2 linked regions of the Cricetulus griseus genome follow. The protein of the gene in region 2 purifies or fractionates together with the protein of the main gene of each other region. This does not show direct contact. Links are inferred from orthologs where the notes say so. Each region holds a gene or a part of one and is shown on either strand. Other genes may lie near its edges.

Evidence for each region.
Region 1: the proteins of Mcmbp (region 2) and Mcm3 purify together in Homo sapiens (affinity purification with mass spectrometry; 10 studies listed by BioGRID and IntAct, counting the BioPlex papers as one, with this or other methods). This does not show direct contact. The link is inferred for Cricetulus griseus from reciprocal best matches to the Homo sapiens genes MCMBP and MCM3.

Annotation. Positions count from the first base shown.
Region 1 is NW_023276807.1:25,170,094-25,176,221, forward strand, and holds part of Mcm3 (DNA replication licensing factor MCM3), read left to right. Parts: intron 1-676; coding exon 677-789; intron 790-1,131; coding exon 1,132-1,340; intron 1,341-1,785; coding exon 1,786-1,916; intron 1,917-4,090; coding exon 4,091-4,329; intron 4,330-4,752; coding exon 4,753-4,861; intron 4,862-5,311; coding exon 5,312-5,465; intron 5,466-5,772; coding exon 5,773-5,904; intron 5,905-6,128. UniProt on the Homo sapiens protein: Acts as a component of the MCM2-7 complex (MCM complex) which is the replicative helicase essential for 'once per cell cycle' DNA replication initiation and elongation in eukaryotic cells.
Region 2 is NC_048596.1:72,003,942-72,010,555, forward strand, and holds the start of Mcmbp (mini-chromosome maintenance complex-binding protein), read left to right. Parts: upstream 1-2,151; 5' UTR 2,152-2,421; coding exon 2,422-2,479; intron 2,480-6,614. UniProt on the Homo sapiens protein: Associated component of the MCM complex that acts as a regulator of DNA replication.

The DNA of each region.
Region 1 (6,128 bases), on a different chromosome or scaffold from region 2:
AATAGCAGGTGCATTTTCCTTGTCCAGAAACCTTTATAACCTAGAAGACCATCCTACAGCCGAAAATCAGAAAGAAGTATGTGGCACCATAGGATCAGAACTCAGAAATGAGCTCATGTGATAGTCCTTAAGTACCCCAAGTCCTTGACACAGCTGCAGGCCCCATTGCTGAGCCTGCCTGCATTCTGACTTATCTCTCTTTCCAGCTACCCTGAGTCCTGAGCTGGCTGTCCCTTAGATTGAGGCCAGTCTTACTCTCACTGAAGATCACCCCTTCTACCAGTTATTATAGGTTCTCTTGAAAAGGTCTCCTCTGTAGCCTAGCTTTGAACTTAGTGGTGATCCTTCTGCCACAGATGCCTGAGTGCTGGGATTATAGTTTACCTCCCGTGCCCAGCCTGAGTTCTAAATGAAACTTTTCCTCTTTGTGGCTCCTTCCTGGCAGCTTTGGAAATCCAAGCTTGCTGTAAATAAAACTAAGAGCCTGCAGAAAGGGACCCTGGGTGTCCTAGGTCCATATTGACCTTATGATTCTTACAGGCTCCTAATAGGTTGTAGGTGAAATCTGAGACTAGTGAATGAAAGGCAGACGTTGGTAGCACAGATTGTGAATTCAGCTGTTCTGAAACATTTTGAGTTGTGTAGCTCTTTTTTATATGTCATGATTGCTCTTCAGGAAGACCAGGGAATTTACCAGAACAAAGTTCGGGAGCTGATCAGTGACAACCAGTACCGGCTGATTGTCAGTGTGAATGACCTGCGCAGGAAGAATGAAAAGAGGGCTAACCGGTGAGTGATGACAGGGTTTTGCGGGGAACACTCTGCCTTGGGGTGAGAAAGGCATCACCTTGTTTAGACTGGAACAGGCTTCCCTGGGAAAGATCTGGATTGCATGGCTGTCACCATCTCAAGTGCTCCAATCTTCCAGTGTTCTTCTGAGTATCACTCTTACATCTTTGAATTGAAGTGACCTTCGATTCTGATGTATTTACTGTGTCTTACACAGTGGCAGGACAAAGTAGAAATGGGATCTTCTTTCACTGATCTTAATGGCGTAAGACTGTTTCTTCTTGATTTGAGGGTCAGTTTCCTGAACTCTGCCTAATGGTTCTTTGTCTTGATCTTACGCAGCCTCCTGAACAATGCTTTTGAGGAGCTGGTTGCCTTCCAGCGGGCCTTGAAGGACTTTGTGGCCTCCATTGATGCTACCTATGCCAAACAGTATGAGGAGTTCTACATAGGACTGGAGGGCAGCTTCGGCTCAAAGCACGTTTCTCCCCGGACTCTCACGTCTTGCTTTCTCAGCTGTGTGGTCTGTGTGGAAGGCATTGTTACTAAATGTGAGTGGGTTAAAGGTGGTGCCAGGATCCTAAGGAGTTAGAGGATAGAGATTTAGGAGGTCTTGAAACTGGAAGAATTGTAGTGGGTCTGGGGAACATGTCATTTCAGAGAAGTGAAGCACTGAAATTAAAATAGTAAAATTAGGGGACAGCAATTAGGGGGAACTGGAAGTGACCACCAGCTGTAGCAGGATGATGTATTTCTGAAGCTGGAAGAGTCCTGCTCTTCCAATATTATTGCAACCCAAAACTTTCCCTTAATTGACATCAGTGGTACTTCAGATTTTACATGGATTCACTGATACCCTATGTGTAAATGTAAGAGGGATAAATGACAAATATTGCTGAAATAGGTAACCTAATTGGGGAAATACAGTATTTAAGTCCCTCCTTTGTCATTGTGTCATTGGGTGACTTTATATACAGTACACCTTTGCATTCCTAGGTTCTCTAGTTCGTCCCAAAGTTGTTCGAAGTGTTCACTACTGCCCCGCTACGAAAAAGACCATAGAGCGGCGCTACTCTGATCTCACTACCCTGGTGGCTTTCCCGTCAAGTTCTGTTTATCCCACGAAGGTGAGGACCTGAATCGGTTGGGCTTCCTTGGCAGCTCGAATTAAAGAAGACTGTTTTAATTCTAGTAGTTGTATATTAATCTGGTGTCTTTGTTCTAAAAGTAGATAATATGAGATAAGGATTAATTCTGAAGAGAGAGATGGGGTACGAGATAAAGTTGAATATGGGCCCCCCCTTTTTTTTTTGTACTAAAGTTATGGTGTAAAAAGTTGGCTTACTGGGTAGGAATACTTATTCTGCAAGCAAGAGGACCTAGGTTCAGATCTCTAGTACCCAAGTAAAGGGTTGGTGTACCTTTGTATGCCTGCTAACCCAGCTGTCTTTGGAGAAGAGAGATAGGTGGATCCTAAAATCTCACTTGCTGACTGACTAGCCTAGCTGGAACGAAGATACCTGATGTCATACCTCATCTCCATATGCATGAGTGTGTGCATCTACACAGGTGTGTGCACCACACACAGAGAATGAAATTTAGAAAAGTTGAGCTATAGAAGGCCAAAAAGGAGAAACATTGGATGACAGGTATTTTAACAGAGTTGTAATCATAGTTATGTAACGTGCTTTCTAAAAGTAAAATGGCAAATGCCTCTATTAGGTGATGATATTGTGTAATCTTTGCAGCTGTTTCAGTGCATTTGGGAAAAGCCAGTAAAAGGCTTTCTTGATAGTGTTCAGGGTGAGAACAGTTGAAGATAACTTTCTTAGTGAGACAGGAGGTCATAAACATTGATTGCTGATGTCTATACTCATTTAGTCAGAGGATACCCCTTGGAAATTGTCCTTGTCTGGGAAGCAGAAAGCATTCGCTCTTATAAAGTGATGATAATTACATAAGATTGGAGCACAGTCCCTGGCACATAGTGAGCACTCAGTAAGCACGTAATGACTCTTGTGGTTTTAGGAAATTCACATATAATGGAAGCATACCTTAATGTTTTTTATGGATGCTTAATATATATTATAATGCAATATAAAGATATAATTGTAAAATATATTAATAAACTATATTGTATATATAGTTTTCACATATATAAATGAGTTTTTACAAGCAGCATGTATTCCTATAACCAGCATCTAAAGTGAGAAACAAACTTACCAGCATAGAAGTCCCTATTGAAGGCTGTGCTATCCTTGTGTCAGCAAAGCCCTGGCTTTCCTGGAACTTACTGTGTAGACCAGGCTGGCCCTGAACTCACAGAGATCCATCTGCCTCTGCCTTTGGAATGCTGTGATTAAAGGTGTGCACCACCATGCCTGGCAACCCTGGTATCTTTAATAGTAGGAAATATTTTTGCCCAAGGGTTCTCAGCCTTCCTAATGCTATAACCCTTTAATACAGTTCCTCATGTTGTGACCCCCAACCATAAAATTATTTCATTGCTACTGCATAACTGTAATTTCGCTACTGCTATGAATTGTAATGTAAATGATGGTTTTAGGTGACCCCTGTGAAAGGGTTGTTTGACCACCAAAGGGCTCACAATCCACAGGTCGTGCACCACTGTTTTTGCCTGTTTTACTATGTACGTGCTCTTGTGTTGAGCAGCTTTTGGGTAACATTGTGTGTGCTCACAAGTGTGCGTCTCAACACACAGTTTTCATTTGTGTGACTGTGCCACATGTACTTACCTATGGTCTTTAAACTTTGTCTGTGGTAGGAATGGTGCTGCTAGAACAGGTACTAAGCTTTGGGTGCATGTGTCTGTGGGGTGTTTCTTGTGGGAAGTGGAAAAACTGCTTCAGAGTTGGGCATGGTGGTACACACCTTTAATTGCAGCACTCAGGAGCCAGAGGCAGGTGGATCTCTGAGTTCCAGGCCAGAGTGGGGTCCAGGACAGCCAGGATTACACAGGGAACCTTGTCTCGAAAAAAGAAAAAAAAGAAAAAGAAAAACTGCATTAAATTATAATTCCAGATTTAGCATCAGTACAGGAAGTCAGGATTTTAATGTGGGTGTTAGTGTAGTCATGATCCCATCAGTGAAAACTGGCCCTTCCAATGGTCAGTTTGTTACTAATTCAGGAGTCAGGCTAGGAAAGCTGTAAGAGATGCATACACTTTTATTGTGATTCTAGATATTAAAGGTTCAAAATCTCTGAAAGATGTTTTCCACATTAGATGAGTGCTACATTTTTGAGACAAGACTGCAAGGACTTTTTCTGTCCTTCTTTTAGGATGAGGAGAACAACCCCCTGGAGACAGAGTATGGCCTGTCTGTCTACAAGGACCACCAGACCATTACCATCCAGGAGATGCCGGAGAAGGCCCCCGCTGGCCAGCTTCCTCGCTCTGTGGACGTCATTCTAGACGATGATCTGGTGGATAAAGTGAAACCCGGTGACAGAATACAGGTGGTGGGAACCTACCGCTGTCTTCCAGGGAAGAAGGGCGGCTACACCTCAGGGACCTTCAGGTAAAGGGGCTGCTTTGGAATGTGGGGAGCACTGGTAGCAGTTTCTGTCCTAGTGGTGCTTTGCTCCAGGTTGCCATATGCAAGCACTAACTGGTGCATGATGTGTACTTCCTGCCAGTAAGGTGACATGACCCTTGTACTACATCTTCTCATGTGGCACTCGGAATGTCGGCTGTCTAGGCCAACGTGGGAGTCACTAGTGACACAAATACAGCCTCATGGCCAGCCTAGGCGAGGAGTCCCAGCCACCTCCTTTGCATGCACACTTGTTTGTTGGGCATTCCATCCTCACTGTGGCTCATGGACCGAGAGCTCGGCTAGGTTCAGAAACCTCCCCTTCTCCCATGTTCTGGTTGAGTTTAATAGACCAAGAACACTTGGTGGGGCTGGGGCGTCAGCAGACTTCCTCTTCCCGTGTTGCAGGACCGTCCTGATTGCCTGTAATGTGAAGCAGATGAGCAAGGATCTGCAGCCTGCATTCTCTGCTGACGACATAGCCAAGATCAAGAAGTTCAGCAAAACACGTTCCAAGGTCAGTTAAGAGTGGGATGGCTTTGATCCTGTGTTGTGCCCTGTGTGTGGCCATCTTTGTGCTGCATCTGGAGGAAGTTGGGATTTTTTTTTTTTTTCATGAAGTATTTGTTGTTAGCATCCAGTTTTGTTCCAACTGGCAGGTTAAGGCTATTTTTGCTGTTTGATTGGTAACACTTGTTCTGTCTGCTGGGCTGCTCAGGTGAACCTAATAAAAATAAAAATGCAGGAGTTAATATCAGTGTACTATCAAGTCTTGTTTATAACTGGCCCAGTTCTCCTGTGGAGACAGTCTCATGTAGCCCAGGGTGTCCCTGAACTCCAGATCCTCCTGTATACACTACACCTGGGTTTTTATTTTTATTTTTAAATAAAAAGTATATGTTTTCTGTGGGCTCCAGAAACCCCACTGGATCTCACTATTCTTTTTCTCTGTTGGTTCTTCCTTTAGGATGTCTTTGACCAGTTGGCCCGCTCATTGGCCCCTAGCATTCATGGGCATGACTACGTGAAGAAGGCAATCCTCTGTTTGCTCCTGGGAGGGGTGGAACGAGAGCTTGAAAACGGCAGCCACATCCGTGGAGACATCAATATTCTCCTCATAGGTATGGTGCTGGGGGATGGCTCTTCCCTTGAGTGGGTTGTGAGAACATGTGTATATAGAGTTGTACCTTCTATAGCTGATCATATTTCAACTCCATCTAAGTGCAGAAGGCTAAAATGGATGTTTTTAAAAATACCCCTGAAATTCTTGATTTATACCTGGACTGTATTCTGAGAATGGGAAAAGGGAAAGTAGTAGTACAACATCAAATTACTGTGTGACTTGTGCCAAGAAGTGCGCTGCAGAAGCAGGATTGGCTGGGGTGTCGGTGACTTTTCCTCGAGATTCACCATTGCCTTGTCCTGTAGGTGACCCCTCTGTCGCCAAGTCCCAGCTTCTGCGGTATGTGCTTTGCACCGCGCCCAGGGCCATTCCCACCACGGGCCGGGGCTCGTCTGGAGTGGGTCTCACGGCTGCTGTCACTACAGACCAGGAAACAGGTAAGGGTGTGAGGCTCCTTGGCAGAGGCCCACCATGAGTGTGAGCAGATTCCTCAAGCTGGCTGCTGTAGGCGCTGGCCTGTGTTGGGAAGATTTGACAGGTTAGTGAGGTGTGTTGTAAGACCGAATGCCCTGGCAAAGTGGGTAAATTATTGAAGGTTTTAGGTCTCTGTTGCTAGAAATGTGTTCTAGAAGTCTAGAAGATGGTTTGAATGATAGCAAAG
Region 2 (6,614 bases):
GCCATTCAGGTGCCTTTTATTAAACCAATCAGGTGCCTTAGGCAGGCAGCCTGACATGTTAAACAAATGCAGCATAAACAAATGCAACACATCTTTACATAGTTAAATATTCCACAACACTTCAAAGCCTGCCCCCATAACACACATCTCCTCCAACAAGATGACACCTCTTAATCATTCCTAAATAGTTCCACCAACTGGAGACTGAATGTTCAAACATATGAGCCTATGGGGAATTCTCAAAGAATAACACTGACTTTGCCTTGTTAGTTTTCTCAACTCACAAATGCCAGATGTAAAAGCATATTGAGATGCCAAGTCCAAATTACCTCTTCCATCCTGTAGCAAACTAGAGTTGAAGGCAACTGAGCAGAATCATATATAAGAAAAACTCCTGCCCTCCCACTGTTTGCATAAAAACAGGATACAGGTTTTTCAAGGTATCCTCCCTCCCCTTTCTACCAAATAATACAGAAGCTAATCATCTGGAAGAATTTTAGATCTTTATCAGCCCAGACGTGGAAAGATTTTATACACTACTAGACTATGTCTACCATGAGTCTCTCATATTTTGATTTCCTGTAACTTGTCTTTGGAAACTGAAAACTTCTGTCATTACAATAGAAGTTTATTGTTCTCTATGGATCACTGCTACATAACCCCACACTATAAACCATTTTAAGTTATTTGTCCCTGGTTGTTCATAAACTTGTGGCACACATGTTCACAAACTTTTTTTTTATGAGACAGGGCCATATGTAGCTCAGGCTGGCCTCAAACTGGGTATGTAGCCAAGGCTGGCTGTGAACTCCTGACCTTCCTTACCTTTATCTCCCAAGTGCTGGGAAACAATTCTTGGCAGCTTTCCCTGATCAGTGAGTGGGTAGACCAAGAAAAGCAGGGGGCAGGTTTTGTTCCCTTTCCCCACTTCCCTAAGGAAGTCTCTGGACTCAGTCTAGCTGTCTCTATTTCTCTGTTATCATCTCCCCCTCTTTTAACCCTTGCTAGGGATTAAACCCAGGGTCTCTTGCATATCAGGATGTCAGGCTGCCAGGTGAGCGCACTACCACTGAGCAGTTCTTATTCTTCACCTATCTAGTTTCTTTTTTTTTTTTTTTTTAAGATTTTATTTACTTATTATGTATACAACATTCTGCTTCCGTGTATATCTGCACACCAGGAGAGGGCACCAAATCCCATAACGGATGGTTGTGAGCCACCATGTGGTTGCCGGGAATTGAACTCAGGACCTCTGGAAGAGCAGTCAGTGCTCTTAACCTCTGAGCCATCTCTCCACGCCCCACCTATCTAGTTTCTAGAGTACCTTCAGATTACTGGTTTTTTGTTTTGTTTTGTTTTGTTTTTTGTTTTTTTTTTGTCAAGTAGGTACAGATGACGAAACCCGAATTTTCTGGTACTTCCCATACAGTGGGTAAATGGTTTCTTTATGAAAACTTCAACAATTCCTAAATCCCCTAGGCTAAAGGTTGCTGTGGAGTTGCCCTTCTGGATCTGCCCTCTAAGAGTATCCTGAGCTCTATGGTGAGTGAGTATCTTGCCACAGAAACTCCCTAGTTGCCAGGCAGAAACGCACCTGAGTGTTTTCCAGGTCAGAAACTAAAGACTGGGCAAGAACAGAGTTCTGAGCGCTTGCTTCTCCCGAGGAACCAGTTCCTCTGCAATTCTGAGATACCCACAAAGGCTGCAATGCCTCTTTGATAATTAACTCGTTCAGGAAGAACTCATTGAGCTGGGGACAAGTTCTTACATGGGATTGTGGGCAGGGAACCATAAAAAAGTTCTAGTGCCAAAATCAGAAGGAAAAAAGTCACAAAGAGATAAGATCCGGGGATACCAAATGGAGTTTTACTCCTTAAAAGTCTCTGAGGCCTGAGCCTTTTGGTCCTTGCGCCAGGACGCAGACTTTGAGCCGATGAGGCAGCCTGATGGAGCTTCCCATCAAGGCGGTCACAAGGTGACTCCTACACACAGCACAGTCTCTTTCCTCTGCCCATCTCCAAGATGGCGACCTCGCGACTGCCGCCCCCCCCGCCCCCGTCTCTACCCGCCTCCAAAATGGCCGCCGCGCCCCGCCCACCCGCTCCCCTCCGGGACTGCGCAGCACGCTCCCGTCGCCCCTCCCTCTCGAGCTCCACCCAGGTCGCTGGCAGCGCGGTCGGTGGCCGCGATTTCCCGCCATTGTGAGAAGCGGAGGTTGGGACCGTCAAGCCGCCCCTGTCGCTGGCCAGCAGCAGCTCTGAGGCGCTCGTCACCGCCGCAGCCTCTCCTGGCGGCCCGCGACTCGCGACGCCCCGCGCGTGGGAGGGCGCGAACGAGCCCCCGAGGAGCAGCCGGCTTCCGAGCGCGCTCGGCCCACGGAGCAGCGCCGCACCGGCCGCGCTGGCCCCGGCTTTCAGCGCCATGCCCTGTGGAGAAGACTGGCTGAGCCACCCGCTCGGGATCGTGCAAGGCTTCTTCGGTGAGCGGCGCGCGGCGAGCAGGGCCGGGAGGGGAGCCGAGTTCGCGTGGCCGGGCCTGTCGCGCGGCCGCACTCGCAGAGATGACCGCCGAGGGCTCGCGTGGCCCCGGGCCTGGCAGCCGAGCCGGAACAGCCCCTTTCGGGTCGCAGCCGCAGGTGCCGCCACCTGCCCTCTGCCCGGCTCCGGCGCGCAGGCGGCGGGGACGCAGCTGCGAGTGCTGGCTGTGATTGACGGCCTGGCTCCTGGCTGGTGGCCTACCTAGCCCGGGCGCTGCAGACACGGGGAGGTCCCCTTGCCCACCGAGGGCCCTGAGAGCGGCGGCGGCGGGAAGCCTGCCTGTGGGAGCCTGCAGGAGATTTCAAAACTTCCGGTGTGTGGGGGGTGGGGTGGGGTCCATCGCACAGAAGTTCGCTCTGCGGGCGTTTCCACACGACCCCCTTGAGATGGGTGGCAATGCCATATTTTTCTCCTCTGTTGACTTCAGAAACCGCCTGCTTTGTTACCTGCTCCCGTGCCGGGGCTAGCGAGAAATAGCTGTTTACATGAGTTTCTATAGAGCACGAGCCGATAGTGCTGTAGGCAAGCTAAGTAAAATTTTAGTTGTCATCGTCATCGTTCCTTTTTTTAGTTAACTAGACCTTCCTATTCCCACTCTCATCTCTGATTTCTTTGAGCCTAGTGACAACGGAGTCGGACTTTATTAGAAACCACTGATAGATCCGCTGCACCTGACTTGCATGGAATTAAAGGGTTGTGGAATTCTCTCAGCTCGAATAAAACAGGGGACAGAAGGGTATTTCATTGGAGAGTCCATAGTTAGCATGTGCAAGGCCCTGGGTTCCCTCCCTAACACACACACACACACACACACACACACACACACACGTACATACGTACGTACGTACATACGTACGTACGTTAGGGAAGAGTTAGTAAGAAGCTGGAGTCCTCAGCAGCCCATAACCGACGTTGTGAAATATATTCTTTTGTTCTGGCGGGGACTCATTGTATAGCCCAGGCTAGTTGTGTCAGTTCAGTCTCCTACGTGCTGGGGGTCACAGGTGTGAGCCACCATTCTCCGTGGAATGTGTAGTAGGGCCTTAATGCTTCCATAGCAACTATTCATTTTGCCTAGAATTCTAATTATGTTGTTTCCCAGGGTGAAACTAAAGCCAGCAGATAGAAGTACTGTAGTCAGTGAACACAAAATCTGATGAAGAAGGGGAGGGGATGGATGCTCATGCCCACAAAATAATAAAACATGGGCTTGGGATATAGCTCAGTAGTAGAATGCCTGCCTGACCTGCTGACTGGTTTGGGTACAGTGCAGGTGGAATGAAACAGATTCATATGCAGTAATTTAGGGTGGTTTTCAAAGGGAATAGGCAGCTTTCCTATGATTCTGTCACTTGGAAGGCTGAAGCATAATTGCTAGTTTCAGACTAGCCTATACCGTGAGAGCCTGTCTCTAAAGGGGTGTGTATGTGCTCTGTTCCTTCACTAAATACTAGTAATTGAAGCTTAAAACAGTGGACCCAACAATTGGTGTTGAATAATAATGACTCCCAAATGTCAAGTGAAGATTCAATTCCACATTGGCTGAAGGTGCAAATGCATAGGTACATTTTAGGAAAAATCCTTCCATTGTTAAAGGTTTGGGACTTTAAAGGGTTAAATTCCCATGACTGATATTAGAATTTTTTTCTCATTTCTTTGAGATGGGATCTTTAGGCCAGGCTGGCCTGGGGCTCATGGAAGTCCTCCTGCCTCAGCCTATGGATTGCTGGGATCACAGGCATGTGCCACCTTGCACAGCCAGAATATCCATTTATGAGAACTATCTCAGTACCCTGGACTTGCTGTAGTAATAAAGTGGTTTTAAATATGATAAGATTGGATGGTGTTTGGTTTGTGTTTGATTGTCTTTTTGGTGCTGGGGATTGAACCCAGAATAGGCATGTGCTCTACCACTGAAGCTGTAGCCTCTGCCCCAGGGAATTGTTTTAATTCTTGGGTTTTCTCTTCAGATAGAAAGATAATTGGTGTCTGTTTTTTTGTTCTGTTTTTTCTTAAGTGGGGACTCTTTAAGAAAGGAAATCTGAAGGGCCTCTGTCTTGTTTAGGGTGACCAGTTTGGTTTATTATGGTTGTCTACTCTTTATTTTGGCTGTGTTGGGATTGAACCTAGGGCCTCAAGTGTGCTGGGTAAGTACTCTACCAGTGAGCCATACCCCTATTTTCTTTGCATGGAGTTAGTTTGTTACAGTACTAGATATTACTGAGTCGAATCCAGTCCTTAGCTTTTTGAGCTAGTGTCTCCCTTGTAGCCTAGGGTTCTGAGCTTGTCATTCTCCTGTCCCCAATTTCTGGGATTACAGCTGTGGGTTATTATACCCTGCTCTATAGTTTCTTCTTCTTCTTTTTTTTTTTTTTTTTTTTTTCGAGACAGGGTTTCCCTGTGGTTTTGGAGGCTGTCCTGGAACTAGCTCTTGTAGACCAGGCTGGTCTCGAACTCAGAGATCTGCCTGCCTCTGCCTCCCGAGTGCTGGGATTAAAGGCGTGCGCCACCACCGCCTGGCACTCTATAGTTTCTTAAAACTGGAAAATGTGATGTTGTTCATATTGTCCTGAAATATGTATCTCTTAATATGTCTTGAACATCTTCCTATCTTAGGGAATTTATTTTACCATTCTGAATGTCCCTGTTGTATATTGTTCCACAAGTTTATTATCCCGTCTCATATTTTAAGATAGGTGACTAATCTAGAACTGTGTTGCCTGATACAGCAGCCGCTTACTTGAATTAGTTAAAATTACACAGAATTAAAGGTTAAGTTCCTTGTTGTTACTACATTTCAAATGCTCATTAGCTACATGTGGGCAGAGACTGTAAGAGGCAGCAGAGTTGTAGAATATTAAAAGCCTTATTTTTACGCGTGTGTGTGTGTGTGTGTGTGTGTGTGTGTGTGTGTGTGTGGAGTGTGGGTATGTGCATGTGAGTAGAGTTGCCCTTAGAAGTCAGAGGTGTTGTGTTGGGACCCCCCACACACACACACACACAAAACAAACTGGAGTTACAGGCTGTTGTGAGCCTCCCATGGGTGTTGGGAACCAAACTCGGGGAGCAGTTCTCCATCTTAACTACAGAACTACCTCCCTAGCCCCACGCCTGTGCTTTTAGGTGGGATCTTGCTGTGAGGTACAGGATAGCCTTGAACTCACTATGTAGCTCAGGCTGACCACAGGCTTAATCTTCTGCCTCATCACCTAAATGCTGGTATTACAGGCATGTGCCTCCACACCCAGTTTCTGTCAGTATATTGTATCAGCTTGAGTTATTAAATATTTCTTGTGCCACCACACCCAACTTCTTTCAGTGTATTCTATCAGCTTTAGATTTATTAAATATCTCTTCACCCTGTCCAGAAGTCTTCATCTTCAACACTGATGTCCTAGCCCAGGATCTGTGGTCAGTTTTTGGGTGTCTGTGACAGCCTCCTTTCTTGTTTCTAGTATAGCTTCTCTCCTGCACTTTCTGTGCTGGAACCAGTAGCTTTCAGTTGCTTCTAGACTCCCTCCTCCCCCAGTTTTAGTTTCATTAGGTAGTCCTAGGCTGCCCTTGAATTCTCCATCCTTCTACCTCAGCCTCTGGAGTGCAGAGATTACAAGCATACTCCACTGCATCCAACTCCTGTTGACCTTAGTATACTGTGACCTTAATATCTGATCTAGTCATTTTTTCTTTCTCTGGCACTTATTATCTAACCCAGACAGGTCTTGAACCTTCCAATTTCTGGGATTACAGGCATGTACCATCACTTCTGGGTTTTATCTGTGTGTCTTCTGAGGTGTTTTACATCTACTTGTGTGTTTCTCTTTGAGTATATATGTATAGGTGCCCTGGAATGCCTGATGTTGCAGGCAGTTGCTAGGAATCATTTTTTTACTCTGGTTTTCCTCTTATTTTTCATTTGTTTTCTCGAGACTGTTTTGTGGAGCTCAGTTTAGCCTCCAGATCACTCTAACCAAAGATGTCTCTGGCTCTCAAGTACTGGGAGGCATGTGTCACCATGCCTGACCACTCTTTCCCCTGTGTTAGTAACTATTTATTTACTTTGAGACCAGATTTTGTCAT